Medicago truncatula: one gene and its partner. The protein of the gene in region 1 binds, or shares a complex with, the protein of each later gene. Links are inferred from orthologs where the notes say so. Each region holds a gene or a part of one and is shown in the gene's direction. Other genes may lie near its edges. The genes, in order: nucleolar complex protein 3 homolog and nucleolar complex protein 2 homolog.

Region 1 (16,839 bases):
TTAGTTCCTTCAAAAAAACATAAGCAAAGTTGCAAGGTGAAGTATAAATTATATAGTTCAGAAACGTAATAAGAATCAAGAAATAAGCATATGCATCAAAAACAAAGTAGATGAAATGAAAATAAATATATGAACAAATAAAATTTGGATCAAATGAAAAAAAACAAATAGATTGGCAGCAACAGCGACATGGAACCATAAATGAACTGAATTCGCAATCAGCAGATCTTGATTGTTCGATGAAAATTTAACAACTCATATTCCGACTTTGCCAATTCGAATAAAATTTGTATGATTTTCTTTTAACAATTGAGATTCGGCTAATTTTCATCCAATAGTTGAATTTGTGATTGTTATAACTCATACTTCATAGATTCCATTTTCAAAGTTAACAAATCTCAAAAGGATAGAATGAATCATATTCTGAATTTGTAAAACCGAATTCGCAATCAACAGATCTCGATTGTTGAATGAAAATCGAGCTACTCCTATTCTAACTTTGCCAAATCGAGTACTACTTGTCTGATTTTTCGCAATTGAGATTTGTAGTTGAATCTATGATTGTTGGAACACATACTTCAAAGATTCCATTTTCAAAGTGTTGTCGAACTAGAGATTTAGCCAAGGTATCAACTAATGATCCTCAGTTATAATTCCCTTGCTTCAAGGGATTAAAAAATCTCAAAAATATTGAACAAATCATACTCTACTTTTTGAAACTAAATTTGAAATATGAATTGTTTGATTTTCATTTAATGATAATTAGATTCATGAATCATTTAACCATGAGACTCCATAAAATCTATGTTCAACTATAGGTAGCTTGAAATGAATTTAGAACAAAAAAAGAAAAAAAAAACTGACCCAGAAACGGTATCAATCTTCATACGCTTTCTAAGTACTGAAAATTTTGGCTCCTTTGTGTATAGCTTTGAAATTTGTGTTATTTTTTGAGGTTTAAGAGAGGTTTTGAAATTTGTACTATATTGAACAATTGGGACATGTAAACGTCATCACAAACGTCACTCTTGACTTGGAAACTAAGAAAAAATGTTGAAGTGATCAATTTAGTATTTACGTCATCAAACCTTTCTACAAAGGGAAATATGGATTTTTCTCTCACCATAAAAAAAATTATATATTTTGGATAGGCTTGATGACGTGGCTAATTTTGAGAATCTAATGCAAAGGCTGTGGGCTTCTGGGGTTATGACACGTGGCAGTTGTTGTTTCATTGGTGGCAGGCTGTCAAGAGCTTTCTTCACTGTGAAGGGCTTCCTTTTTATTTGGTGATGTTGTTTGCAGCTTGCTTTTTTTGAACAGTTTTGTTTCCAATGCATATCTAGATTCATTTGTCTTTGTTTTTATGAATTTTTTTCTGATTTGCTTTCATCACACTATTATTGTTAAATGATGGTTTTTTGTTATAGGATAGATGATGATATATGTCGTGTGATGTATTGATAGGTATTGAAATGAATTTCTATTTGTGGTATATTTTTTGGTTAATATATGTTATTCCGTAATATTATCGATTACTATTGTAAAAAATGATTTAGATTTCAATTACGTAATTCGATGTTTCTTTAGTTTTAGATTTTAATGAATTTTGATTTTACAAAATTGATGATATTAAAGTGGAAGAATCAAAATTTGCTTAAATTACAAAAGACAAAAGTATCTTAAAGTTTGAAATTTGATATCATATGGGTTTAAAATCGAAGAATCTTCAAATTACAAGGTTAAAATCTAAACAAATTTTTTTTACAGATAAACTAAAAACCGTTAATAATATAGAGATAAACATATATTAACCCTAAAAAATTTTACACGTAAAATTTGTAATGTGATTTTAATTAATTTATTGTAAATAGAAAATAAAACATATATTATTTACCCAAAAAAGATAAATACTATAGAAACCAATAATAAAAATGCAACTATATCCTGACAAAAAAAGATGAAACTATTGTTTTTTTTTAAAGAAAAGAAATGGAACTATATAAAGTAAAAAAATGTCCGTTTAATATTTAAATGCGAGGAAAGATATATTAACTCTAAGAGTAAATCTCAAAAGTTATTCCTGATTTTCCCCTTAAAAAAATTACTCCTAATTTTAACTCTTGGTTTTACTTTAATCCAACGGTTTGGCATGTGTTATAATTATCCTCACGTGAGCACTTATCCGGTAACTACCACTTGATCTTTAAACCCCTCCCCGTTTCAAAATGATAAGGTTCGATCAAATTCTTGAAAATACAAATGTTCTCTTTTTCATTTTCTTAATCTTTTAGATCTGCTAAAAATAATCAAACACAAACCTTAATTCCCTTCCGATCAATTAAGATTCATGTTGTGTTTGAAATTATTTAACTTTTATTGTGTACATTTTCACCGTCTCTGGTAGATGGGTACGTATTGTAATTTCGTTAAACATGGTGTTCTCACTCTCAAGAGTGAGAAATACTTAGTTAAGGACAAACACAAATGTAAAAGGTTTGGGCACATTTCACACAAATGCTTTTTTTTAAGATAAATTGGTTTAATGATATTGAATGATTTGACTAATTTATTTATTATTTAATTTTCTTCATTATTGTATGTGTGCCCAAATACTAATAGAAATCATATTCATGTCATAATTTGTATTAAAATATAGTAGAATAAATTTTTGAGAACCATTCAATTGGATCACACGCAAAATTTGAATACACTATCTAGTCCTACTAGTGTTTTGGCAAAAGTGTTATAATAGGTGTGTGGAATTTTTAAGAGTGTATTTGTAAGAGTGCTATTAAATTAACGTTGTTATATGTCAAAATTGAAATAGTCTTTTTTTTAGTTCAATATCCAAGATTACGAAAATGAAATACAATGTCTATTAAAGATTGTCTTCACACAAATAACATAAAAATACCAAGTCTGAGTTGTTTCACAGAAACATTGAAATACGAATATTTATTACACAACACGATATTTTCAAATATTACAACATTTACTAAAGCCTTTGTTTGGTCTTTGGTAAGCCTATCGTTTTCTCGAAAAATTTTAATAGATCGGAACTTCTCCGCGTGTGGACCTTTAATGAACGCTTCATGGTTCGATTAAGAGCGCCAAACGAAGCCAGGTGGCAGCACACTCTCACCAGAAGCAATAGAACTCTTGTTCTTTTTCCCTCTCTTGACTGGTTTCATAAACATAATTAAAGCTGCAAGTTTAATTTCACAATGTTGCAAGTTTCACAATCAAAATTGTAGTAGTCTATCTTGCAAGTCAATTTAGAATCCTTCTTTTTTTTGTTTGGTTGAAGTGCAACATCAATAGTTGACAATATAAAAATATATGCAATCATGTTTTTGTTCTCTCTAAATATACAAACTTCATAAATTCACGTGTTTCATATTACATTTATTTTAGCCTATTCAAATCAACTTGAAGGTAACTTATGAATTATATATAACTAGTGTAGGTAATTAATATGGTTGTTGTTTAATATACGTTGTAGTTAGACTATTTACATGTGAAACAACACATAGTTGTATAATAATGTATATGTTATAATATCATGTTTTGATATGTGCAATTGAAAAGTTGGGGGAACTCATTATGGAGCATTCACCGTGACAGATATCAGATAAAAAGTTGAGGAAGTTGTGTAGTGAAGCAAGCTATAATGCTGACAAAGAAGTTTCAAACATTCTCCATCCAACTCGTTCCCTAGGGATGTAATGGTGGAACTATCACGGCAGCAGATCAGGCCGTTAATTGGCTCCTTCAAGAGTATGAGAAAATTCCACTAATCAAAAGTTGTTTACAATCATGTTACATATCTATCTGCCAGTGATAATTTAGCATTTTGGAGTTTTTAATATGACAATTTTATTAATTTGAATCTAACTACTAGTAGATACCAACATTTGTTTGAAAAATAAAACAAATGTTGATGTGATCATAAAAAAAAAAAAATAGAAGAAACATTTATCGTTGATAGTTAACAAAACACGTGAACATTATTTTCATTGAAAAAAAAAAAAGAAAAAAAAACACGGGATTGTTTCACAGTGATACATATTTTCATTTATATCTAATTGATGAATCACAAATAACATAACTTTCAAAAAGTTTTGTCAAAAAAAAAAAAAACTTTCAGAAAGTTACAAATTACTTATTTCTCAACTATAAATTATAAACGAGATTAATATTTATTATAAGACATACAATTACTTTTTATAAAATTACACATTTTTAAGATTGATTCTTTTGTAAAAATAATTTGCCTTTTTTTTTTCTTATGTCGTTTATGTAGAACTAAAAAAAAACCATTCTTCATGTGAGATATCATAGAAATTTCTACAAATCAATCAAGACTAATGAAAATAAAAACATTTACACTATGTTTGTTTCTAAGAAAAGATTATTAGAGGGAGAGAAAGTTAATGGAAAGAAAGATTCTTTTTTTTTTTTTTTTGGTTGAATTGCAACATCAATAGTTCAAAATAAAAACATGCGCAACTATGTTTTTGTTCTATCTAAATATACAAACATTATAAATTCATGTGTTTAATATTACATCTATTTTAGTCTATTCAAATCAACTTGAAGGTAACTTATGCATTATATATATATACTAGTGTAGTTTATAAATGTCGTTGTTGTTCAATGTACATTGTAGTTAGACTATTTACATGTGAAACAACACATAGTTGTACAATAATGTATATGTTATAATATCATGTTGAGTTACGTAGTTTATAATGTTTTTTTTTTTTCTGTATGAGATGATAATATGTTCTTGGGCAATTATCCTTGAACTATTTTGCTAATGACGCAATATTTCTCATAATACCTCTTCGTGATTGCACACGCTTTTTCTTGTACTCTTGATGGCACAACAATCATTTGCTTGAATGAAATTTTATGTCTTTCTCTTAAACTCTTTTTTAAACTATTTGAATATAACTAATTAATTTTCATGTCTTAAAAAGCTTTGACATGTATTGTTGAAATAAATCATTAAGATATGTAACACAACTCAATGTGTGTTTTGTCACAAAACATTAATTATAATCTTGTGCGGTTTTCAAGTTATTCGACCATGATTGTTCAACTATAAACATGTTCTTCCTTTAATCTTTAACTCTTGTGGTAACGAGGTTGAACCAATGAATCTCATATTTTTGTTAAATATTCAATCAACAATCTTGTGATTTCATCAATAGTCTTTTGGCATCTTCTATGATCTTGTGATGTTGTTGTTGTAGTATTCTCATGCTATTATAATTCTCCCATTTAGTATATACACGCACATGTAAAGATTTCTTTTATGTCTACTTCTGTTAAAAGACTTAAGTGTAAACATAATACTTAACCTTTATTTTATAAGGTTTATTGTGACATCAAAATGATTTTTGTTTCAACAATCTCTCATTTTTTTATGATGACAAACTTTTTGAATCAATCTTAAGATTTATGGATAAATATAGTAAAAAAATGTAAAAATGTTCTTATGTATGCAATTAAGCTCCCCCTAACACACGTGCAAAAGTTTAATTCATATCATTCTAATTAAACTTCCCCTAAACATATGCAATAGGTTAATTCTTAACATTCTTCATCGATTCTCCATACGTCATAGGTTTCTATCCCATCACATATATTTTCCCCTTTTTGGTATCTATAAAAAAGTATTGGGGATGATATGAAAAAAAAAAAAAAAGAATTATAAATGTGGGAAGCATGAACACAAATATAATGTACATAGGGATCATGTATATGAGGAGTCATATTCTCATATCAAACTTAATCGCTTGCTTTTAACATACATTTCATGTATCATGCTTAATATTCATTTATCAATACATGAATAAAGACAATTATGATCATTTGATCTAGTGCAACAATTTTTGGAATAGAAAAAAATGATTTATTAGTGGATGCGATAAAATCGAAGTCATTTGTAACAATATCAAAAATATTTCTCTCTTCTGAATATTCTCATGTTGAGGATATTTATAAGTTTTTCAAATGATTAAGTTTGTTAAAGGATAATTCTAAGCAAGATGATTTTCTCAATTTGATAGAAATCAATTACATGTATTTCTCAAGAATTTAGATATTCACAATCAAGCATATGATTAAACTTTATTGCATGTGTATGTGTGAGTTCTGTTATGCGCTTATCTTTTAAGTTATTATGCTTAAACGAGATTATAAACATATAAGGTAAGTTTGTAGAGATATATTTATGCACATATATATTGATGTCAATGATGTTACATCACTATTTTTGTCTCCAATTTTTGCAAGTGCATCAATGTAAACATTTGACAATACTGATCAAAATTTTCATGTTAAGAACATACCTAGTATGAGTTGAAGAACAAAATAGAACATTTTATTCTTAGACCAGTTTTAAAGTTTACAACAAAGTAATACATATCATACTGAAACTTAATTATGTATTATGTTTCTTTTAGAAATGTTTCAAAGATAAATCCTAAATTCGAATCCATTTGAAATCATGTTTGAAAAATTATATTTTCATGGGTTAATAGTGTTTTACCCCTTGTTATATAGGTCATTTTCGGGTTTGACCCCTGTAATATTTTTTATTCGGTCCTTGTAAAAAAAATTGTTTCAAAATACCCCATAGGCCATCTAACTATGCATATTTGCTGATGTGGCACGCTGAGTCACATTTTTCTGATGACGTGACACGCTGACTATATAAATAATTTTGTTTTTCATTTTTTTTATGGGTATATGTGGCATATGTGACTATTTTTTTAAAAAATGAATATTTTTTTTTTTGCAAAATTCATTCTTTTTTCAAAATTAAGAAGATTTTTCCAAAAAAAATTCTCGACCTTTATATATTTCAAAATTTCCAAAAATTATAAAATAAATCTGAATTAAATTAAAATTATAAAAAAATTGAAAATATAAAATTATCTAATTTTTTTTATTTTGAAAACTAATTTCTAGAATTTTATTTTATTTTTAAAAAATCTTCAAAATTTCGTAAAACAAATATGATTTTTTGGTGGATTCTAAGGTGAAGAATCAATTAAGTCCCTCACCAGTGTACCGCTAATTTTAACCATTAGATTAAATACACTCATTAGTTACTACCGCATAGGATCTAATCTCATCTCTTTGCAATTTTTTCTTTCTATCTTTCCTATAAACTTCTGCATTTACGCAAAGAAAACTGTCTCCATCCTCACATTCTTGTCTAAAATATTATGGTTTGGTTTACTCAATTGCCACTCTAGATAACTTTTGTTTGATATTTGTATGGACAATTTTTTATTCAAAATTATAAACTGAATTTGGGAAATGTTATTTTATTTGCACTCATTTTTGTGCAGGATTAACAACAGAGATCTATGTGTACTTAAGTTTGATATCAATTTGGTTTCAGATTGTTATTTGAAAAAAAAAATTCAATAAATTTTCACATCACTTCACAATAGGGATTCATATTTTAATCTATTAATTTTTATTGGCATTTCAAAGCAGCAAAATTGAATAATTTTTTTCTTTCTAAAAAGGTTATTTTTGGAGCCATTTATAAATGATCGAAACCACCATTGATGTAATGTTATGAAGGCTTTGAGAACAAAGAAATAGAAGGGGCAGAAGAGGCTAAATAGAGAAAAAAAGAAGTGTGATATAGTGTATACGGTGTATGGTATGATGTAAGAAATTAGATCAATCCGATGACTTTTAATGCTTTTTTTTAATTTCAAAAAAGATTTTATAAAAAATTATGGAAAAAAATCTGAATTTTTTCTATTAAAATTTTGGAATAAAAAATTATCTATTTTGTTTTTAATTTTTCAAAAAATATTATCTAAATTCTGGACAAATATTTTCAATTTTAGGAAAAATATTTTCAATTATGGAAAAATATTATCTAATGTTTTGTTTTTTTTTAATTATGAAAAATATTTTCCAAAATTTTATTTTTTTTATAAAAAAAAATTAATTTCAAAAGAAAAATCTGAACTTTGTTTTAATTTCAAACCTGTTTTTCTAATTATTTTTAAAATTTTTTAAATATATTAAGTTCCAAAATTCTTTTAATTTTTTTTCCATAATTTTTTTCAATTGTTTTTTTAAAAAAATGCACAAATGCCACATGTACCAATAAAAAAAGGAAAAAAAAAATTAATTATACAATTAGCGCGTCTCGTCATCACAAAAACGTGACTTAGCATGGCACATCAACAAATATGCACAATCAGATGGTCTAAAGAGGTATTTTGAAACATTTTTTTTACAATGACCAAATTAGGCATGGCAATGGGGCGGGGTGGGGACGGGTTTTACCTTCCCCGTTTCCATACCTGATTCTCATATACTTACTCGTTACCCTACCCATACCCAACAAGGATGAGAAATTGAATCTCATCCCCGTCCCCGACGGATTCGGGTATCCCCTCCCCATCCCCGTCCTCGCATTGAATATTTTTTTTAATAAAAAATAAAAGTTTTTTTGCATCCCCAAGAGCAACGTTGTAATACATTATCCAACAATAAGCTCACCTTCACATTTGTTAGACAAAATTATTTAGTTGATCCTTTAAATATCAATGGTAGTTTTTATTAACATGACAATTATCAAACAAAATAACATAACATATCAACATAAAATAATTTTTTACATTTGGGACGATGTTTGGGTATGAGTTCGGGGTGGTACCTATGTACCCGTTACCCGTCCCATACCTGTGTTTTGAGATTGGGGAAAACCCATACCCATACCCAAACCCAGTCAAAAAGGGGAAAACCTGTCAAATTGGGTTTAGTTCGAGCGGGTAACCACGGGTATGGGTTTTGTTGCCATGCCTAGACCAAATCAATTTTTTTTTTTTACAGGAGTCAAACTCAAAAATGACATATATTACAGGGAGTAAAACACTATTCATCCTATTTTCATTAACCATATCAAAATATTTGCAAAAACCATATTCAATATATATCACTTAAGAACAAGCAATGAATATGTTAATGAGTAAACTAGAACAAATTCATGAATATCATCAAGTTTTAAACTACTATGAAATTTCAAAGAAGACATTTTTATGATCTAAGTCTAAAGTCTATCATGATTTGTCTTTTAGAAAAAAAATTATAGTTGATCCATGTAAAGAAATGAGAATGGTTCAAATTACAGCTCATGCAAAAACTTGTTTAGAAATGTATTTTAAGAACATTATAATGACTTCATTCAAGAATGCAAAGAGTTGAACTTTGCTAAAATGATGTTGAATCGTTTAGCATTCATCAAGGTATCTCAAAAGACATAGTGTGAAATTACATAATATCATGCAAAATTTACCCTTGACACAGCATCATCTCCTTGTATAATTTAGAACATTAATTCACATTAAATGCATTCTTAACATGTTTTCTAAAAAAAATATTAAAAAATTTGGCAGGATAGACTTAGGCCTAGCAAAACCTGATCTATTTTCACCCTGCAAGTCGGTTCAAAATCTCCTATTTTCTTCTTCTTCTCAAAGTACAACATTGATAACCGAATAAAAAAACATTCACAGGTATCGGTTTTGTTATTTCTAATATACTACAACTTTAGATTTTCTAAAAATTTTCATTTAATAAATAGATTTTCTAAATTTTTCATCTAATTTAATGAGTTTGGGAATACTCTATTTAATCAATTTAAGAGTTTGGATGAAAGACACGTGGCAAACAAACATTCAATGGAATTTTAAATTAAAAATAAATAAATATTTGTTTAATTAAAAATAAAAAAACGCTCTCCTTCTTCTCAAACAGTACGCATCCATTCCTCTTCCTCTTCCGTTTTTTTTATTTTTTATTTAAACAAATATTTGTTTATTTTTTAATTTAAAATCTCAGCCATTGAATGTTTGTTTGCCACATGTCTCTCATCTAAACCCATAAATAGAGCATACCCGGCAGGTACACGTGTATCTCTCATGTCATAAACCCTAATTCACAAAACCCTTTCTCTCTCATTCATTCATTCAAAGAAACTCGCAACCATGGGCAAAAAGCAAAAGCAGCAGCCGAAAATCGTTCTTCCGCCGGAACTCCCACCGGAGATTCACGATGATGAAGTCGAGTATTCCGATGACGATGTCAAATTCGTCAACGAAAATCGTGAATTTGCTTCCTTGATTTCTTCCTTAGACACTAAATCAATCACCAAGTGAGAAATTAATCCCTTTTTCTATTCTCCTTTCAATGCTTCATTTTTCATTGTAAATAATTGTTTCTGGGTACCCTTTTGTTTCTGAAAAAGGGAAAATAAAACTGTCTTTTTGATAAGGTTTTTTAAAGGGTTTGGATATTTGCAGATTTAAAACTTTGAAATTTCCATAGTCATAAGCTATATAGATTGGCATTGACTATAAAAAGTGTTTTTTTATTGATTATGATTTATGGGTCCGTGTGGATTGGCTTATTTGAGTTAATTTACTGACATAAGCACTTCTGAGACTGATTTAGAGAGCTTCTAGAAACAGCTTATGAATCTTTGAAGTTGTTTTCAGCTTATTTCATTCAGCTCTCTTACATAAGTTATGAAAATAAGTTATTGCTTGTATGAAAATAAGAACTTGTTTGAGCTAATCTACTGACATAAGCACTTGTGAGACTGTTTCACTGAACTTATGAACGCCTTATGTTGTTTTTGTAGATAACTTATGCAAACAATTTTTAGCGTATATGTAAATGGTTAGGCTTTATTATATCTTTTGTTAGATAAATAGCTTATATAAAAACACTTAGGGCTCATTTGGATAAGGCTTATTTTGAGCTTATACAAAACAGCTTATGTAAATAAATGAGTTTTTTTGTATTATTATTAAGCTTGTCGTATAGCCAACATTTTTTGGTGTTTTACTTTATAACTTTCATAAATTTTATTTGATGAACTGATCTCTATATGATGAATACATCATAGGCTATGGATAAACTCCAATGAAGCCTGTTTATGTCATAGTTACACTGATAGAGAATCATTCATCCTTTGTTTCATATATACCTACTTTCCTTTGGTTGTGTTTTTTATTGGCCTTGTCCTACTTGAAGCAATTTTTTTCCTCATTTTTCGAGATTAATAATGATAATATAAAGAAGCTTCATCTTTTGTATATTTGGACTCCTGATACTTGTATATGATAGAAATGTAATATTGGCAACTTTGCCGAGGTGATCAAAACCATATTGGTTTCCTCTTTTTCCCTGTTGCCAAAACTTGAATGACTGGAACTAGTTTCATGCTATTCTGATTTATATTGTCAGTACAGTTTTCTAGTGCAGCCAACATATATTGGTTTTTTACTTTATAACTTGTGTAAATTTGATTTGATGAACTGATCTCTATATGAATATAGTTTATGGAAAAAAAAAGTTATGAAGATACAATTTTCGTTTGTGAAAAGTTATAAATTAACATAAAAACTTATTTATTTGCATAAGCCATTTTTCATAACCTCAAAAATAAGCCAATCCAAACGGGCCCATGAATCTGATAAGTGCTTATGCTATAAGCTATTTATCCAAACTGGGCCTATTACAAAAACTTTCTGAGCCGGCATTTGCTTATGAGAACTATTGAGATTTAACCGATGTCGTCTCCTTCTTGTCATGTACAGTGTGGAAATCACTTCCAAATTGTAACAGTGTAGCTCATCTTAATATATTTTACCCATTATAGTTATGAATTTAACTGACGTAGGATATAATTTTTGTGTATCCTAAGGCATGTTACACGGGTTGCTGATGCTAAAGACGATGCTTTGGAGAAACTATATGAGCAACGACGCATGAAAAAAGATGCTAAAAAAGAAACAGAAGAAACAGGTTTGCAGGTTGACCGAGTAGATGCTCTTCCTGTCAAGTCCTTAGATGGAGAAGTCTATTACCGGACAGGTATATAGTGTTCTCTTATATAGAATTTGTGCATTGTCGTCGTTTGTCATTCTTTTCTTTCTTTTACTTGTTGATCTGGTAACATATGCTGTTCTCACATTCTGCAGCCACGCGGACGGCACCAGTAAATGGTCCAAGGAAAGAGGAAACTGAAGAGGATGACAATGAAGACAAAGGTTTTGTGAAGCTAACTAAGGCTGAAAAAAGAGCCAAACTTAAGAAAAGTAGAAAAGAGGGAAAGAAACAAGGGAAAGAGGTGGCTAAAGAAGAAGTGGAAGAAGCACCACAATCAACAGTTTTGGTATATTACCTATAACCTGTTTAACATTATTAATTTAACATATTCTTTGGATCCATTTGATTTGCTAATGAGGGATTTGACAAGACAATACTATTTGCTTCATGTTAGATTTCTAATATAGTCACAGGACAAAACAAGGTTTTTGTTTCACTTTTGATTTTGAAAATAGTCGCAAACAAAACTTTTCAAAATGAAATGCTAAGTATTATCCCTCCTTAACTCTATTACCTATTTCCATCCCCTCTGCTATTAATTCAGATTCCATTCCTCCGGAATTATTATCTTCTTATAAATTCTAACTCGGATACTACAGCACCTCCTGTCCCAGGAGACCCCTAACATTCATCTATGCAAACAAGTTCAAAGTCCGTAATTCATAAAACCCAGATTAGTTCCCACTCTCCTTACACATTTGGAACCTACCACCACTCCCTTTACACGTCTGAAACCTACCATAGTTACTTACTTGGCTGGCACTAAGTGGTTGGCAACGATGCAGTGTGAGAATGATGCATTCATTAATAAAAATACTTGTTGCTCTTCATGCACATAGGCAGGCATTCGACTGTAAATAAGTATTTTAGGTAAAGGGTAATCCACATAGAAATATTAATAAATACAAAGCAGAACATTTGGCAAAAGGATTTCACCAAGAACTTGATTTCCACAGTATAGGAACTTCCTCTACTGCTGTGGAACCAGTGGCCAATAGAATAGGCCTTACCTTAGCACTAACTCATTGGCATATCTAACAGCTAGATGTAAGTATACTCCTAAAAAGATTCCTAGATGAAGAAGTAAATGCAACAGTCTCAAGGGTTTGAAAACTAAGTAATCATCAGTTCATAAGTTTAACAAAGCACTATATGGGCTCAAAGAGACACCCAAAGAATGGTTTGTGAGGCTGGCTTTTGCAAATATTAGGCTTTGGTTTTAATTCAAGACCATCAGGTGTGTTTCATCCCTTTTCACTCTTCATGGTTCCTCATAGTCTCTATGTGCTGGGATATGTAGATGATATGATGATAATTGTCATAGGCAGATAACCCAGTTGATGGAAGGCCAAAAATCCGCCATTGCCATACAAACATGCCACTGCGGCTTATGGCGCCACCATGGCGGGCATCCCTTCACAAATTGCTTAAGGCATACTGCACAGTTAATTGTCTGTGTCACTGGTAATGACCAAAATTCTGCCATATAAATGTGGGATTGCGACCTATGCCGCCACACTGTCTATGGTGGCTGGCACAAAATTGACCACATCATTCCACCATGATGTCACCATTGTGCCGCCATTGCTTCTATTTAACAACCTCGCTTTCATGGAAGTTAACTAATTCTGTTATAATGTTATGTCACTATCGGAATACTCTATAAATATCGACTCTTTGTACCTCTCGTGGTATGAAGTTTCTTGGAGACTCATTTGTTTTCTTTCTTCTCTTATTTACTGACATTGCAAATTCTAATATTTCTCTTGAACTGCTACCTTTTGAGAGGACTTTTTAAGTCATTGAACTCAATAATTTATATAATTTGTCATCATTTCATTGTTTAGGATGAGGTTAAAGAAGATCTTAAAGCTGAAGAGAATTTTGAAAGTAAAAAGTGTAAACTTGCAGAGTTGGGAAATGCCTTAATAACAGACCCAGAGTCCAATATTAAATTTCTGAAAGATATGGTACAGCTATCTAAAGATAAGGATCTCACCATTGTTAAACTTGGACTTCTATCCCTCTTGGCTGTTTTCAGAGATATTATACCTGGGTATGATTAACTGTCATACATTATAATTACAATGCTCATTCTAAATGCAATGATATTATAGTCTGCATTTGGTTTTTTTTTTTTCGAATTAATTCTATTTTTAATCCTTTAACTTTGACATCAATGCATGCAATGTCCAGCTATCGAATCAGGCTTCCTACTGAAAAGGAACAAGAAATGAAGGTTTCAAAGACTGTTAGAAAGATGCGTTTTTATGAATCAACTCTTCTCTCTGCATACAAGGTTTATATTCATGTTTGACTTCTATGTAAATTCATTTTATTACTTGATTTAGCTGAAATAAGTTTGTGCTGTTAGACATGACTTCCTGTTCCAGTGCTTGCACTGTGGTTCATTGTGTTGTCTTTAACCGTACATCTGAATTGGTCAAAAAAATTATGATAGCTTGTTTAAAATTATTTACAGAGTATAAATTTTATTAGATATTTGTGTCACTAACTTTTTTTTTTTCTCCTTTGCTTCTATTTATACACGTCATCAGGCTTACTTGCAAAGGCTGATAGCCTTAGAAAAGCTGCCTTCATTTCAGCTTGTTGCAGTTCAATGTATTTGTTCTTTGCTTGATAAAAATCCCCATTTCAACTTTCGTGAAACCTTGTTGGACGTGACTGTCAGGAACATAAGCTCCAGTAATGAGGCTATAAGGTGTTGTAATATCTTTACTATTGGCCATTATTATACTAATGTTTCTCAAGTATTTATGTAATTTCCTATTGAAGAGCATGGATATTAGTTTCATAAACTCAAATTTTAGGCTGAAGAATCCATCATTGGAAAAGGAAACTACCTGCCATTTGGGGCATAAGGGAAATTTCGTGGGTAATTGGCTATTTGGTGGATTAAAATGCTAAACTACCTTGTGTAGTTCAAGTCTAGATAAAAGTTATTTATACTTTCCATCTTGGTTGTCAATACCGTGGAATAGTGCCACAATCACATTTGTCTTCATTTGATTTTTTAAACGCATGGAAAAAACGTTTGCATTCTTTCTAAATGGAACTATATTTATGCCATTGATGGGGGTAATAACATGTATTATCTACACATTAGCTCCAAGCAGTTGAAATGGTGTTGGTAAGTATATGAAAAATGTTTCCAAATTTGAAGAGCATACATTATAAATAAGAACGCCGATCTTAAAGGATGTGAGTATTATTGTTGACATTGCACTAGGTGTAGAATTTTACAACCCCATGTCCGTGTCAATTGAAAACTATGTTTCCCCGTTACAAATGCGACAGGCTTTACTGGTGTGTAACTTAAGTATTTTTTTTATTCAATAGTTGCAAGTTATATCTTATTTCATTGGCTCAACTCTGGTCGGTCAGTAGCCAGTATGGCTTCTATATGTTGAGGGTCCAAGACCAAAAAAAATTCTCATGGTTTTCCAGTTTTTGTTTGCTCATATAATGAATATTAGCAATGATCTATTTTTTGTTTCTATATTTGTATGCATTTATACTTGCTAAGATATTCTTGTTTTTGTTCTGCAGGAAATTTTGCTGTTCCACAATTAAGTCACTCTTTACAAATGAGGGTAAACATGGTGGTGAAGCTACTGTGGAGGCTGTCCGGCTGATTTCTTATCAAGTTAAAGATCATAATTGCCAGTTGCACCCTGATTCCATTGAGGTATGATACAAGTCCTATGCTACCATCCCTTTTTTTTTCAATGTTTTACCAGAAGTCCTATACTTCTCAATCTTTTGTTTTTTGATTCAGGTTGCTATTGCACATTTTTGAGTGTGATGTAATCATGATAGCTATTTGAGTTTAACTTATTTGATTTGAGTGTGTGATGAAATCATGATAGCTATTTGAGTTGAACTCATTTTATTTGATGTGGAATATTTCACTGAGCATAAAGCTGTTAAGTGATGTTTGTTCTTTTCAATGCTTATATCCAGGTTTTCTTGTCTCTTTCATTTGATGAGGATCTTGCGAGGTCTGAACAGATGGAAAAGGATAAAAAATTTAAAGACAAGAAATTTGGTAAGAAAAGAAAAAATACGGAGGCATCAAATCAGTTGCCTGAAAATGACAGAAAGAAAAGCAGGCAAGAGTCGATTTCAAAGACAAGAGAAGAGGTGATTATTTTTCCAATAAGAATCACTCTGTTCTGGATTTTTGGTTGATAGCAGAAATGAGATTCTACCAATGCTTGTTGTAGGTTGAAGCTGATTACAAGGCTGCTTCCTTTAGCCTGGATGTTATGGAGAAGAGACAGATGCAAACGAAAACACTCTCTGCTATGTTTGAGATATACTTTCGCATTTTGAAGCATACGATGCAGTCCATAGTTGTCAGGTGTGTTTTAATCTATATCATGTGTATTACTATATTACTATGAAACATAAATGTTGATGGGTTTGTAAATCCTGTTGCCCATATAATAAGATAATTGATGCTTTGATATATGGACGGCTGGCTTAAATTAAAATGAAACTGCTATAATAATAAAAAAATGGCATTCAGGTAAAATACATGCTTGAAGAATATGGATGCGTGATCCCCTATCATGTTCTTGAATCTTGATTCAAAATTCCAATTACAATCAATATGCGGACATTGCATTGACTTGATAGCATGTATTTTTACCATTTTGACCAGTAGCTTTCACAGTTCTTGGTTTGTTCTTTATGACCACTTGTGAACAATACTCATAATTTTACCCGTGTAACCAATTATTCATACATGCCTATAGATTGTTCACTCTAGTACAATTATCTGACAAAAACATCATCAAGAGTCTGTCTGTATAATTTGATCCCACTTCGTTTTTTTGGATTTGGATCCTCTAAAGTGAGTAAATTAAA
Region 2 (16,049 bases), on another chromosome or scaffold:
TGTTTACTTTGCAACTTGCGAGTGAATTTAATCCAAATTTATCGTACTCTGTCTGTCCATTCTAAAATAAATATCATTTTAGGAAGAAAAGAAAATTAGAGTGAGTATTGATCATGTTATAGTTGACGTTATAAGTGTATTTAAATTATGAGAAATGCTAATAAGTGCCCTCAAGGCACTTGTTAAAAAGTCTAAAGCAGAAACTTTGTTTTGGAAATGATGCATTCAACACATTGAAATTTTGAAAAGTAATTTATTTTACATAAAACTTACCAATTATTTCTACTTTTGAATCCTAAATAAATGCCCTTTGGTCACTTGTTAGCAAGACCCTTAAGATATTTGTTAAGAAATTTAAAAGACAGTAATGTTTTATGTTTAAAAGAGAACTTTTTAGAACACTTGTTAGCAACATTTTTCTGATTTTATTTTATTAATTAATGTAACATTAATTAATTTATTATAATTTTACTTTTAAATAAATATTGTGTGAACATTTTCTGTATCGAACTGGCCCAAGACCCAATCTAACTCCGCTCGGGTCTAACCAGAGTCCACTATGCATGCGATACTATACGATAAACATGCCCTATATATAATCCATCAGATCACAATGCAGGATGAGAGTTTCTCATCGGTCCGGGAGTTGCTCACGCCCACGCATGTCGAGAGCTCACCATCAAGACTGAGAGTTGCTCATGTTCGTACGTGTAAACAGCGACGGAGCCAGAAATTATATAGAGTCTGGGCAAAAAATTTATCGCAAAATGTTACGTCCTTCCTGCGAATAATTTCACATTTCCTGTGGATATATCTTTCTTGCGGATCCTAAAATCCTAAGGTATTACCTCACCTAGGGACCTAAATCCTTGGCAAAATCTGCAGGAAAAGCTAAAACTTCTAGTAATGGCTGAACTTGTTACAAAGAAAGTTGGAGCTGAGCCTGGGCTAGTGCCCAGGCTAGCTGGGGGGTGGCTCCGCCCCTGCGTATAAACACAGTTTGCAAGATAAGGCTTGAAAGACTAACCCTACTTGGCCAATATTTATACCCAGACTTTAGTCCTGGGGTCATGTAGGACACTCTTTACCCATATTATAACTACATAACTCTTAAACCCTTCATCGACTTAGGGGTCAGAGCACATTCAGGTACACCACCCCCCTTCCGATGGAGAAGGACCATCAATGAACGACTCAACAAAACCTGACACACGGTGGATAGATCAAAGTCTGACCCCTCCACACAGTGGCTCTCAACCGACCAACCATCTCTTTAGGTCCAACCGAATCACTTTCAAAGGTGGGGCGTACATTACCCTTTGTTGAATCAGTGGTAATTTACCTCTAATGACAATTATGATTCGATTCTAGAACAAAGGAGATGGAGATCACATGTTGAATGAAGGAGAAGAAGAAGTTCGACGTTCTTGAGCTAAAAATGGTAATTAATCGTAAGAAAAAAAATCAAAATTGTGAGGCCTACATTACCTTTTGATGAATTAGTGGTAATTTGTAAGATCCAACTATGGAACGACGGAGATGGAAATCCGATGTTAAACGAAGCATATGAAGAAATATGATGTTATGTAGATGAAAATGGTATTTGATAGTAAAAAAAAATAGGATTTTTATTTGATAGGTCTAAATTACCCCTGATTCATCAAGGGGTAATGTAGAAGAAAAAAAACATTATGCAAATTTGTTATGCTCAAGTTCTTTTTCTGTTTGAAAAATATATTAAATGACACCTATATTAAAATAAAATGAATATTAGTTATTATCTGTCCAAGGGATAAACATTAACCAAAATTGAATCGTGACCAGATGTTTTTTCAGGATTATTATACATCTGAATTTTAAAATCCGAATGACCAAATATCAATTTTACACATGAATATTATATTAGAATTCAAGCACTTACATGGTTCAAACACCTCTTAAGGCAAAATGCAATTCTAGAATTTTTCACATTCTAATTTTAAAATTTAGATATGTAAAATGAAATCTTAATATTACAGATGCGAATAACTCATTAAAATTTTCGGGTTTCGATTCTAAAATCTCAAGAAAAAAGAAAGGGTGTTATTGCGTTTCCAGGGGGTCGTGAGATACAGGGGGAAGTAATTTCAAGATGCTTCATGGGCTTTTAATTGGCCCGTTTACATTATGAAATGAGCAAAACTAATTACTATAATTATAATATTGATTTTAAAACCCCCTCCACCACGGCGACCATACATACATCCCACAAATGTTTTATCGTCTCTTTTATTTTTTTTGGTACAATTATTATTTATTGTCTTAAATGCACTTTTGAATTTTTTTTTTTTATAATTTTCATCCCCATGCCATTTATGGGTGAATTTTGTTGACACCGGCTTATTCATTAATTATGTGACCGAGCTTATATGGTCATACTAGTAAATACCCATGTCAACAAAAAATGATGAATAAATGATGTCACATAATTAATGAATACTATGTCACATCAGTAAAAATGAAACAAAATGAGGTGAGGGAAAATTCAAAAGGAAAAAAAAAAGTGAAATTGAGGACAAAAAAATTGTTTTTTAATATAGTGAACTAAAAACTCATTTAAAAAAAATAGGAGATGAAAAGTATATATTTAATCTTTTATTCTTTTTTGACTTCCTAGTATATGTAGATAAAGGCTCAAACATTAGGTAAGTCTTAAATAATTCCGTATTATAAACCAGTTCGCAGTTGAAGGATTATTTAATGTGTTCTGATGCGAATTTGAATGCGATATTTTAATTTATTCGTACTTAAGTTGTGTGATTCCCATCTGACAAAAAAATGGATCAAACACGTACCATAAAAATTCTTTAAAAAGAAAAAGAACTTGTTTTATATGAACACAAATAAAAAAATTAGTGGCTTATGATAAATAAATATTACAAAAAGGTTCATGTTTGGAAAAAGATTAAACTAGAATCAAACGAAGGATAACAGTTTCCATTACATTACCTAGAAGAAAATAATTGAATTGGGTCCAATATGACTCATAACAAAAAATCCACCATTTAAAGAAGGGTCACGTTAACTTGTGTCGTAATTAACATTTCCCTTTAAAGAATTTATATGATTGGCTAACACATCCGTGAATTGGTTAACTTCACAAAAAGATTGTTTCACAACGACCTCCAACTCAAGCAAGCGATGTCTTCTCAACTAAAGACTTTCCAACAGACGATCACTTCCATTTTTTATAAGAACATTAGCAACCGCTAAAGAGTTCATATTTAACTCTACCGTCTGAAATCCGACTTTCTAGCATACAAAACCTTTATACACTCTCCGATAGCTATTGTCATATAAGCATTACACATCTCAATCCTATTAGCAAAACCACACAACCATTCAGCTTAACCGTTCCCCTCCTCTAGGGGCTTCCAACAAATTAAGACCCATTCACAAGTTGGAGTTGCAATCACTTTTTTTTTTTTTTTTTTTTTTGAGATAATCTAATGGTTAGAGAAATTCATCTTAAAGGTGAATAAGTGGGGTGTTCTGGGTCTGATCCTCAATGCATATATTATGCATTATCTCTTACGAAATGAGTTACAATCACTCTATTAGCCTCGTAAAAGATAATTTTAAATTAATGAGAATATATGTTTTCATCGTGGAGGCAAATGTCATTGATTTGAATCTGTCGTACACCAAAACATCTCGTTTACCATTTTTAACAATCACTCAATCTCATAATACACATTAATGTTGTTTTTGTATTTGTTTTTCCTTTTTTTATTTTTATTTTTATTTTTATTTTTATTCCTTTTCTTCAGAGTTAAGTCCATGCCCCCATATGGTTGTTAATTTAATTTAATTTACTTTTAAGAATGTTGAAATTTGGGCCTAATTCATCCTCACAAAACCGATTTGTGAAATGAGGAGTGCCTCCTTTTTATAAACGATCATCAAGAGTCTCATCTATCTGATATGACTTGAGTTTTTTCCAATACACTCCCCTCACGCCCATCACTCATTGGGCTTGGTGTGTGAATAGGTAGGTGATCCTTGAATTCGACAAGCTCTAATGTTGAAATTTGGGGCTTAACTCATCATCACAAAACCGGCTTGTGAAGTGAGGAGTGCATCCTCCTTATAAATTTTCATCAAAAATTTCATCTATCTGATGTGAGACTTGAGTTTTTCCCAATAAAAAGTATTATTGCTATTTTTCTAGCAAGAAAAATCATTATTACCATCTTTGATTTATTGTGTGACGAAAAGTCTAATAGAGAGATTCCATGTCTTTTCCTATTTCAGGAGAAATAATAAGATACTCCATCCATTTTAAAATGAGTGTCGTTTTGGCCAATTGCACACAGATTAAGGAATGGAATAAAATAGTCAAATGTCATAACAATTTTACTAAAATAACCTTACTTTATAAGAATAAGACAAACTTAAAGTTACATTGAAAATTGTGTGAGAGAAAAGTTAGAAGAAAAAAATTAAAGTTGTATTGGAAATGTAAAATAACATTCATTTTGAAATAATTTTTTTTGGCTAAAGCGATACTCATTTTAAAACGGAAGGAGTATTAAAAAACTAAGAAGTTAACCTATTTTTAATACGCCATTTTGTTAAAATATTCATATACATCTTTTTTGAGAGCTCATATACGTCTTATTTGCATCTGCTGCATTTTAAAAAAATAAAAATAAAATATATATATATATATATATATATATATATATATATATATATATATCTTTGATCTGGAGGAGGGGGTCGAGTCTGCTGAAATTTCAATAAAATAACCACACAGTTGCCAACAAGGAAGAGAGTAATAAAACAACATTACAACAAGCTTTTAATTTTCAATATGGTTACTTTTAAATGTTATTTTATAGCTATAGTGGAAGAATTAGAAAAGAGCAATGATCTTAGATTCAAATGGTGCGTTAAAGAAAGTACTAATAGAAAAGCAAATTCTACATATAAAAATACAACTTACAAACGCGTCAACAATATCTTACACAATTTCCTTCAGTCCAAAAAAAAAAAAAAATACATAATTTCCAGTCAAAAAAAGATCATACTACGTAATTTTAGAGTTAGAAGTTAGAACATGAGGTCTCTTTTTAAAAAAATAAATAAATATGTGGAGGTTAAAAATGTTTTGCGCCGTCTGCGGGCCGGGTGGGTAAGAGTTACAACTATGGAGGTCCATTGTGTACTAAACTCTTTTTTTAGGCTATGTGTGCCTAATATATAAACAAACTAATTAATGAATAAACAAACCAAACAGGTTAATTCGAGAATAAAAAAAATAGTGCAACCAAATGGGTTGACAGAAAACAATGGGAATAATAAATATTACTTTACATCGTTGAGTTTTGATTTAAAAACATATGATTGTGTTTCTGCGAAATTGTGGTTCGATTTGGTTCAAATTTGGAGTTCTAGTCTTAGGAAAATCGTGATGCGTTTTGGATCAAGATTCATATTGTATGAGAGCAAATTGTGGTGCTAGTGTTGGAAAACAATTGGGAAACACCTTGGATAGTGAAATCGTTGAGTTTCTTGATCATGCGAAAGAGATTCGGAAAAATGGTAGAAATTATAATTGCTCTTGATGAACTTGTTAAAGCTAATTTCTTGTCTTTTTTTGTAAAGAACTTTAGATAGTGAATTGAAGATCTCTCTCCTCCAAATATATGTCATCGTTGGGCCGAACTGGGTGAACAAATCCTTGGTGTTGTTCTCTATACTCCACTCTCTTTATCTTGATTGTTCTTTGGTTCGATTGTTATATTGCTTTACACTTGGTTGATACGTTAGATCTAAATATGTTGTTGCTGCTTGTGATTATTAATAAACTCAATACAAATATCAACTTTCTTAATTCCTGTTATTTTACCAAAAGGGACTTCAAAATAGGGACTAAGGTAGTAAGCGCATTTGCATTTATTTCTTATAAATGATAAAAATAATAACATTTACCTTTATTTTATTTTTTATGAAAATACTCACATTTACTTAAGAACTATAACCAATATGAGTATTTTAGTCTTTAAACATTTATTTACCATAAAAAACAATAAAATTAATCATTTTCTTAACAATTGTGTTGTGTGGTATCTAAAATAACACTTATAATAAGACCGAAAGAGCAGCAAGAAATTTTCTCTCTATCACATATTTTTTAACACTACTTTTTGTTTTGTTGTTAAAATTGATAGTTATTCCATTTAGATTTTAATTGTTATGTCATAAGTGAAACACAATTATTATGCATATAAATGACCTATACACATCTAAATATTTGGTATTGGAGCTCGCACTAAATCATTAAGAATTATTTTTTTAATAAGAGAGAGTTTTGCATGATCACAAGACTTAATTAAAAAAAAATGTTGGGAGAGAAAACAAAGTAAATGATATTTTTAAAAATAATTAAATGATTTGTATTTTTTCAAATATTCGTCCTTCATTGTTTTGCTTTTTGTAAACATTAATCAACAACTTTCTTGTACGTATCTTGTAAGTAAAATCCTTTTCAAATAGTGAATACTTGAAGTTCAAAATCTCCACCGGTCAAATCAAAAAACACAACTCATCAACTATAGTATATCTCAAATTTTATATTTGATAGTTGTAGCTCCAATGTCAACGGTCAGCATTGTTGGCCAAATAGTTTATCTTAATATAAGCTTATATATACACTACCTACCCTCTCTTCCCTATTCACCAAGTTTCACTTTTCTTTCTCCTTTTAGCAAAACAAAACATTTGTTGCAATAATATTGAGTTGAACAAAAAAATGAAGCCTGAATCAAAGTTGCATGGTTTTTATGATCAACAAAAGAATATGATCAATGGTCCTCGTCCTTCCCCTTTGATGATACGCAAGCCTAATTCATCACACAAACAACAAAGGGTTCCCATAATCATTTACACACAATCACCAAAAGTTATTCATACAAAAGCACAAGATTTCATGGCTCTTGTTCAAAGTCTCACAGGCATGTCCACTACCAATCAAGTACTTCCACGTCAGCTAGAAGTCTCTGAGAATTTTGAGTCATCTTTGTCTGATGGATCAAACAATAATGGTGATGAAACTACTTCAACTAGTTCGGTTATTAAGAGGGAATATAATATTGATGAGAATTGTGATAAGGGTGGTGTAAATAGCAATGTTGATTATAAACATAGTCCTTCTAATATGATGAAGTTTGCTGATATGCCATTATTCACTCCAACTTCACATGATTTCTTTTGCTCTCCATCATCACGACCAGTGTATAAATTTTCTGATTCTCCATATGGGATTTTGGGAAGTTTGATATCTCCTTCTGGATTGGGATTCATCCAAGATCTACCTGAATATTAATTCATTCATCAACTAATAGGTGCAAGTTGTGTGCTATATTAGGCTGGTCTCTTATTTGTTAATTAATTTGTTGCATATTTATTTTTTTGTAAAGTTTGTTGTATTGTGGACATAAGAAATTGACATGAATTACTAGGAGATTTAATTCATTCTTTCTAGACATAAGAATTAGCAAAAGATTATTCATTTGGCTTTAATTTGTTACACTAATTTCATTCAGTCTTGTTTTTTTAGTGTATAATTCACCTTCCAATTTAGCAGTTGTTTATATATTTAGCGTCTTCCTCTTACCAACCCCAGGCTAAATAATGGTAAAAGAAAGGGGAAGAAGAAGTATTGTGTGAAACCAAACTAACCACGAATATGGTCCATAATTTTATCACGTGTTTAATTATAACTAATGGATCGATGAATTCAAGCATCTAGCTAGTCAACGTGAAAGACAATGCAATAAGTTTAATGGATTGTTGTCGGTATTTTATATATATATATATATATATATATATATATATATATATATATATATATATATATTTTATGTTAATCATTTTATTTGTTGGGGTATGGACTTTATTAATTAAATATAATTTGATATCTCACTCAATAATCAAATTGAAATTCTATCGAACGATTCATCTTTTGATGAAGTTCATTGACCCTTAAGCCAAATCACTTGAACAAATTTAAGATTTTTGTCGACATGTTATATTGTTGTTTGAATTATTATTATTATCTGATTTATCTATCAATGGATTATTATCAGATTAGAATCCCCTTTGATGAAGAGCTGTACAACGCATTATGCAATAGCAAAAGTCAACTCCTTCCTTATCATACTATTTTTATTTATTTTTAACTGCAATTTGAAGTTTTCTATAGTTCAATTACCAATATTTAACATTTGGTTGGAGTTGCAATTGTCAATTGATTATAACACGCCACCGGCAAGACCCCAATATTTATTTATATTAAAGCTACGTTTCATGACAACAGTCAATAATAATAGTAATAAAAGAGAGGTTTGACCAACAAAGGATAAAAACCTAATAGAAGGGGCCCAAACTCCTTGATGCCTATTAATGTGCCACAGCTATGGATAATTGATAACTTAATTGATAATTGCAAGTAAAATCTATATCTATAATAAAGACATGTTTAAAAAACACAGCTATGTGGCTTCTAGGATAGATTCTCAGATAAATGAACTACTGCACAAGCTAATAATCAAATAATTTTTTGATGTCTGCATAAGACATGGTAGTTAGGAATTCAATGACCTTTGGTTACATTGATAACGAATTTAAGGAAGGAAGATGAACGGATTAGATTTTGGCCCAAATTAAAAAAGTTGTAGTTTAATTGAGTTAGATTTCTTAAGGGAAAATGCTACAAATTTTTAATTAACACAGAAATGACGAAGGATTACACCGTCACCACATTTGAAGCACCACGCGCGGGAGGCTTAGAATGTGATTGTAATGTTAGTTTTGCTTCCTATAACTTATTAGGTATCAAAAGTTTGTTGCTTATTGATTTGTTCTCTTATTGTAATCTTGATTATGTCCATGATATGCCTCTTAAGCATGTTCATAGAATGAGTGTGAGTAAGGAATTAGAGGGATAGTTTTCACTATTAACATATCTGAATTAGTTGTATCATTTCTACAAGGAGCTTATACATTCCATCCATTGTAATCAACCTCTGTTATACTGTAGTAATTATTACGTAGAGTTTCCCTCTAAGTGAATTATATAATCCAATATTTATCCTAATTTGGTGTTTCCTATTAGTCCCTAATCTATATTCCTTAACATGTCAATATTTTTTATTTGTTTAATTTTACTTTTTTTTTTTAGAAGTATTGCACATGGAAACCTAAATATGATGTAGGGATTCACCAAATTTTTAATTACTCAACAATATTTGATTTTGATTTAACAAATTATCAACTCGAATGTTCAACCATAACTATAAATAACAAAACATAGAAAAAAAGTTGAATTATAAAATAATAACATCAAATAATGCAACACAAATGAATGAATAAAAAAATCGGGGTTGAATGGATAATGAGTTAGAACCCGATCCCATGATCGGTTCTTAACTCATGACAAGTTCGTCGCATCAAGTTCCAAGAAAATCTGCCAAAAACCAGCAACATATACGGGTTAAAAGAAGCAATATCTACTTAATCACGTTAAATATGTGTCGAAATCCTTTGCCAATGCTTCTTTGATAATTTGAGACACACTTTTTGGAACAAAAAAAAGGTTTTGGAAGAACGGATGAAATAGCAAGTAGGTTGTGATAGAAAAGTGTAGTAAAAGTGAGCTGGGCAATGTTAGAAACAGATTGATTCGTAAGTCCCAATCTTGAGTGAACTAGACGTAATTCCCGATCCCAAACGACCGGGAATTAAAACCTGATGGGAGCATTTTTGGCATTTCAAGGTGTATGTGAGCAATTAAAGATGTTTTAAGAGTAATTTTATTATTGTTTCTTTAATAAGCCCAGATACAAACTAGCAAAATAAACAAGAAGCCCAACCCATAATAACCTAATTTTTTTTTTTATTTTTTATTTTTTGTCTTAAACCCCAAATATGTTTTTCTTGTTGGAAAACCCTAAATTTGTTTCTGAAAAGTAATAAGCTACGAATTCTTTGTTCATCTTTCTGCAAAACAATAAGTTTCGATTCAACGCCGTTTCTATTGCAACACGATGGTTGGAAGAAAAGCGGCGGTGAAGGAAATAGTTTCAACACAAATTGATAAAGGTTCTTTCTTTCTTTCATTATTTTAATTTACTTTTTTATGTTTTCGTTTTTAATTCGTCTCATTTATTTATTTTGATTATATTAGAGATTAATGTGGATGGAGCAGAAAATAATGTAAAAAGAAAGAGCAAAAAAAATTCGATGGTTGTGATTGAAGCAAAACAACATAAGGAGCAAATAGAAAATCTTCAGCACAAGGTTAGACCCATTACATTGTTGTTTCTTAGTATACTAAGATACCTGTGTATGCAACTTTGCTTGTTCTTTTTTGTAGGATTCTCTTTAATTCAGGGTCCGTTTGGATTGACTTATTCAGCTTATATTGTTACTTAAGTTTTATTTAAATGTCTGAGCTATTTTCGGCTTATTTTCATAAGTTCTCTAAGATAGCTTATGAAAACAACTAATAGCTTATACGAAAACAATTAAACTTTATTTTATCTTTTTCCAAAGAAATAGCTTATACATAAGAAGCACTTATGCTATAAGCTGCAAGTAAGCCACTTGTCCAAACAGGGCCTTAATAGCTAAATATAAGTTTTGTCGTTTCAAGCAATGTTTATCTCTAGGCCGTCTGCCCTTGTATAATTTTATTAGAGAAATTAGACATATTGCATGTCCATAGGGTAGACGTAGACTAAGACAAGTAAAGGTTTTGATAATTTAATTCGCATTTCAAATGCTTGTATGTGTGAAATTTGAACTAGGTGGTGGTTGATAGGAAATTGCCTTTTATATATTTATTGGGCTACATTCTGTTAGCAATGTTATTAACAACCTTTTCCATTGCAGGACGAAGATTTTTATGAGTACTTGAAAGAGAATGACCCGGATCTGCTTAAGTTCAGTGATGACGATATTGATGTATGTTTCATTTTGACACTTCCTATCTAATATCTGTCTTGTTTTTGCTTCATACATTAATTGAGATGAATATGGTTCCGTGATGCGTTGAGCCGTTGATGTGAGATGTGTATTCCAAATGGTTATCATGAATAATATGCAGTATCTTCTAATGCCTTCCTAGATATGGGAAAAAATTTCTTAGCTACTAAGCTTGCATTGGTTATCAATCTCTTTACTTCTTCATACTTTTGTTTGTTTTCTATTAGAAAGATGTGGATGCTAAGCTTGCATTGTTTGTTTACCCAATATTGCTTGTTCCTTTTTTTTCATCCTAAAAAGGTCATTGCAGTGGATAAATGATGGGTAACTGGTTTCCCTTTAGAGCCATGTTTGTGGCGCAACACAACGAAATGTAAATTCAAGGCAAATGCTAACATGTGCTCTAAGGGCACATGTTTAGAAACTAAATAAAGAAGCATTCATCATGAAAGTCGTGCATTCAACTTTTGAAATTATTTTTTCATTGCAAAAGTTCCATTTTGGGTTCATTATTATGTGCCCTCAGGGCACACATTATCAAGATCATAAATTCAATATGGCGTTGCTCATATTGGTAAACCACCAACCCACCAATCCCTGCAGATTCAATTTTTGTTTCTTGGGATTTGTATTTTTTAGACCTATAGGCTATATATCTTTTAGGTTCAGGTTATGGTTCTCCTATTAGATTTTGAGAAGACACTTTGGGTAGAGTCATGATATTTATTGAATCGGTTTTACTTGAAACTTATGATCTATCCTTTAATCAAGATAGAAAAATTTGGACTGTGCTTGAGTGTTTGGTGGTAAATTTAAATTGGTTGAAGAGGAATGCCGGTATTGTCAAGATTGCTCCTTTTTGCTGTTATGTTATATAGGATTTCACGTTCATCAACTATATTTGGTGCAGTGATCATAATTTGTAGGGAATCTCAAGATATTGGTTTCAGTCTTTTTTTTTTATTTTTTTTTATTTTTTTGTATTTTAATTTTTTTTTTCTGTTAACTATTTGCATGCATTACTAAATTGCTATCAGTGTGACGCGTTGTTAGCAATAGAAACTATATATAACTGTTTCGCTTCTTTTATCCAGGAAGATGTGGATGATGACATGGAAGATGGAGAACCACAGGAAGATGAGAAGGCTATTGAGCATGAGGTTCAAGCAAAGGATAAAAAACATTCTAATAAAGTTATAACCACTTCTATGGTTGATTTGTGGTGCAAATCAATTAAAGAAAATGGGAGCTTAAATGCGGTTCGTTCCCTGATGAGGGCTTTTAGGACAGCATGCCACTATGGTGATGATGATGAGAATGATTCTACGGCAAAACTTAGTGTAATGTCTAGCGTTGTGTTCAACAAAATAATGTTGACTGTACTTAATGAAATGGATGGAATACTAAGAAAATTGTTGAAGCTTCCTGCTTCTGGTGGAAGAAAAGAGATCATAATGAATTTGATGACCACAAAACAATGGAGGACTTATGGCCATATTGTGAAGTCCTACCTTGGAAATGCTCTCCACGTTTTGAATCAAATGACTGACTCACAAATGATATCATTTACTTTACATCGGCTAAAATATTCTTCATTGTTGTTGGCTGCTTTTCCTTCACTCCTAAGGAAATATATTAAGGTACAAAGAGTTCATTGGTCACCTCATCATTGTTCACTACAAAATTCATAGATGAGCATTAGTAATTTTAAGTTTCTGGCTCTGTGCTGAATATGTCTTCCAATGCTTGGTGATTGTGGCACCATTCGGTCTTGTGCAGTAAATGATGAGAAAGCTTAATAGATGGACAGAAATCAACTAAATTTTTCTGAAATCTGGATCATATAAATGATACATTTTTCCGTACTTAAACAAAATTAAGAATAGTATCATTCGGTAAACTTTCTGTTGCATGCAGTTTTTTTCCCCTGTAAGTATATACTTCTGGTAATGTGAATGAAAAGGCTTCAATGTAAAGAACATTTGTGACTTGCTAGGACATGTAACTTAACATATGTCTATTCATTTGGTAAATCACTTTCTTGTTGAAATTATCAGGTGTCTCTTCATTTCTGGGGTACTGGTGGAGGTGCCCTTCCTGTTGTTTCGTGTCTATTCATGAGAGAGTTGTGCATCTGTATTGGATCTGGCTGCATAGATGATTGCTTTAAAGGAATATATAAAGCCTATGTTTTGAATTGCCATTTCGTAAATGCTGTGAAACTTAAACATATTCGTTTTCTTAGCAACTGCGTCATTGAACTTCTCGGAGTGGATCTTCCGACTGCATATCAACACGCCTTCATTTTCATTCGACAGTTGGCCATGATTTTAAGGGACGCACTTAATACAAAAACTAAGGTGCTGTTTATTTGTTCACTATATGTTATTTTCTTCCTTGGTACTGTAAGAAGTGCCTCATAACATTTTGCTGTTAGAGGGAACCAATCCTAACAATTCATCTATCCTGACTAGCTTGACACTTCCGTATCTCGTTAGTAATGAGTAAAGGAAATGTGACCAGACATTCCTTAATAGATTTGTTTTATTCGTGTTTGATTGGAGCTTTTCACTAATCAAAACAAATTGTTTATGCATTTTTGACAATTTTATTTTATGGTTCTTACGTTGCTCTTCTCTGTCTGAATGTTTTCTTTAGGAAGCTTTTCGCAAGGTTTATGAATGGAAGTTCATTAACTCTCTTGAGCTTTGGACTGATGCTATTCGTGCTTATAGTTCACAATCTGATTTTAAGCAACTTGCATATCCACTGACCCAAATAATTTTTGGAGTAGCCCGTCTAGTTCCCACAGCTAGGTACTTTCCCCTTAGGTTGAGATGTATCCGGATGTTGAACCAGATTGCTGCTTCTACCCAATCTTTTGTACCAGTATCTATGCTCCTTTTGGATATGCTGGAGATGAAGGAGTTGAATAGACCCCCTACAGGAGGTGTTGGCAAAGCTGTTGATTTACGCAGCATATTGAAGGTACTTGTTACTTGGTGAAATCGTGCATTTGTTGATAACTTTAAATCCACCTAACCTTTTAGAGGTATTCTTTCATATTAGATTAGCAAGCCAACTCTTAAGACACGGGCATTTCAAGAGGCTTGTGTTTTTTCTGTGGTTGAAGAACTTGCGGAACACCTGGCACTATGGAGTTACTCTGTTGGGTTCATGGAGCTGTCTTTTATCCCAATTGTGAGGTTGCGCAACTTTTGCAAATTGACCAAAGTTGAAAGGTTTCGAAGAGAAATGAGGCAGCTTATTCGCGAGGTATCTTATTAAAATGATCATAAACCTTTTATGTTTTACTTTTATCATTGGCATGCATCAAATTTTGTGGCATTCATCTCTAATATTTAATTTTCCACTCAGATTGAGGCTAATGTCCAGTTTGTGAATGAAAGGCGCATGTCAATTTCCTTTCTACCTAATGATCCTGCGGCATCATCTTTTCTTGAGGTTTGCTCAGATTTTCTCTTTACTTTTAAGGAATGAGTGAGAGTATTGATTGTTTCCTTGTTGGATGTTGGTTGACCTTTTTCATTCATTTGTTTACTTACATTGTAGTCTGCTCCATGTTTCAATTCTTCCAAGCTCTCTGCTACCTGCATAAAACTTTTTTCCTTAAGCAAATAAACTTCTATAGGTTGTTACTTTATTACTGAAGACCAATGAAGTGATTGATGATGCTATTGAGTTATTTCATTTTGGTCTATATATCTGGCTAAACACTATCGTATGGTGGGAATTGAATGAAGTCATTTTATTGATGTTTAATGTTTTTGTGTTGCCGTTTTCTTTTCCTTTATTTTATTATATAAGTCTGTATAGATTATCGTCCCACTTATTTCACGCCTCAATGTCACTTTACTTTAAATTAAATGCCCATTTATATTTGAGAATTGTAAACAGTCAACTTGATTTTGATAGGATGAGAAGAAGTCAGCCTCTAGTGCACTATCAAAGTATGTTATAACACTCCGCCAGAGAGCAAAACAAAAAAACGACTCATTAAAGGAATCCAGGTTTGAATTTTAAAATCACCTCCATTCACATGGATTACTGTGTCCAACATGCATACATCATTATCATATAGGTTTCTTATATAACTTAAAAATTTCCAGTGTTCTTGTTGGAGAAGAATCCTCTGTTTTTGGTGATGAAGAATCAGCAAGTGATGAGGAGGATACTAAAGAGAACGAGGATGCCAAAGAGAACGTGGATGGAACTGCTGCATTTAGCTCATCCTGGTTACCCGGAAATGACAAGTATTGCTCTTTTTCTTTGTTCATCTTTCACTGACAAACCCAGCTGCATACACAAACACACGTACATTTGTGCACATACTACACGATGACATAAACACAGGTTTCTTTTTACTTTTTATCTGAGGAATGCTTTGCTTTCAGGATAAAACAACAGCCTACTGAACCAAAAGGAAAGAGGAAAAAGCATAAAAAAGAAAAAACTGCCATTGATGATGATGTTGTGGAGGACTTGGTACTTAGTTCTGATGAAGATGAAGATTTGCCTTCAAGCGACAGCCCTTCTGCTGGGAAAAATGCCGATATTGATCATCATTCATCTCCAAAACAAAACCGCAAGACAAAGCATAAAACAAAAAGGTTGAAAAGGAATAAATCTCACACCTAAGGGAAAAGTGATATGTCTACTTTGCAATCTCTATATCTTCTTCGTTGACAGAACGACCTCTATCTCTATTCGAACTTTTATTGGGTTAATGAGAGAAAAGTTTTGTAATTTTATAAGAAATTGTTTTCAATTTTACCTTGGAAGTAAAGATTATTGACATATCTAAATGTAATGGTGACGGCTGCAATTATATTTTTGTTTACAGTTAAATTGTCAAGGGAAAATGTACTTTTCCTGTTCTAATATGCCAAAAACAAAAGTTATATAATAAAAAAATTACTGGTTTTCTATGAAATGAGAAGATAAAAAAATAATTTGAACATGAGAGAAATGATAAGGAAGATAAGGAGTGTGTGCTT

The links.
Region 2: nucleolar complex protein 3 homolog (region 1) and nucleolar complex protein 2 homolog share a complex: the UniProt entries of both Arabidopsis thaliana proteins name them as parts of the nucleolar complex. The link is inferred for Medicago truncatula from reciprocal best matches to the Arabidopsis thaliana genes AT1G79150 and AT2G18220.

What each region holds. Positions count from the first base shown.
Region 1 is NC_053048.1:32,672,428-32,689,266, forward strand, and holds the start of nucleolar complex protein 3 homolog, read left to right. Parts: upstream 1-9,984; 5' UTR 9,985-10,037; coding exon 10,038-10,204; intron 10,205-11,761; coding exon 11,762-11,931; intron 11,932-12,038; coding exon 12,039-12,232; intron 12,233-13,793; coding exon 13,794-14,002; intron 14,003-14,142; coding exon 14,143-14,245; intron 14,246-14,504; coding exon 14,505-14,668; intron 14,669-15,516; coding exon 15,517-15,655; intron 15,656-15,930; coding exon 15,931-16,110; intron 16,111-16,193; coding exon 16,194-16,330; intron 16,331-16,839. Other genes in the region: uncharacterized protein, read right to left, coding at 865-887. UniProt on the Arabidopsis thaliana protein: May be required for synthesis of 60S ribosomal subunits and the transport of pre-ribosomes from the nucleoplasm to the cytoplasm. Also required for initiation of DNA replication.
Region 2 is NC_053042.1:53,573,262-53,589,310, reverse strand, and holds nucleolar complex protein 2 homolog, read left to right. Parts: upstream 1-9,981; 5' UTR 9,982-10,091; coding exon 10,092-10,146; intron 10,147-10,231; coding exon 10,232-10,344; intron 10,345-10,938; coding exon 10,939-11,010; intron 11,011-12,125; coding exon 12,126-12,671; intron 12,672-13,088; coding exon 13,089-13,391; intron 13,392-13,689; coding exon 13,690-14,019; intron 14,020-14,100; coding exon 14,101-14,307; intron 14,308-14,409; coding exon 14,410-14,496; intron 14,497-14,967; coding exon 14,968-15,062; intron 15,063-15,161; coding exon 15,162-15,305; intron 15,306-15,446; coding exon 15,447-15,690; 3' UTR 15,691-15,907; downstream 15,908-16,049. Other genes in the region: VQ motif-containing protein 8, chloroplastic, read left to right, coding at 6,797-7,369. UniProt on the Arabidopsis thaliana protein: Together with SWA2, probably involved in pre-ribosome export from the nucleus to the cytoplasm.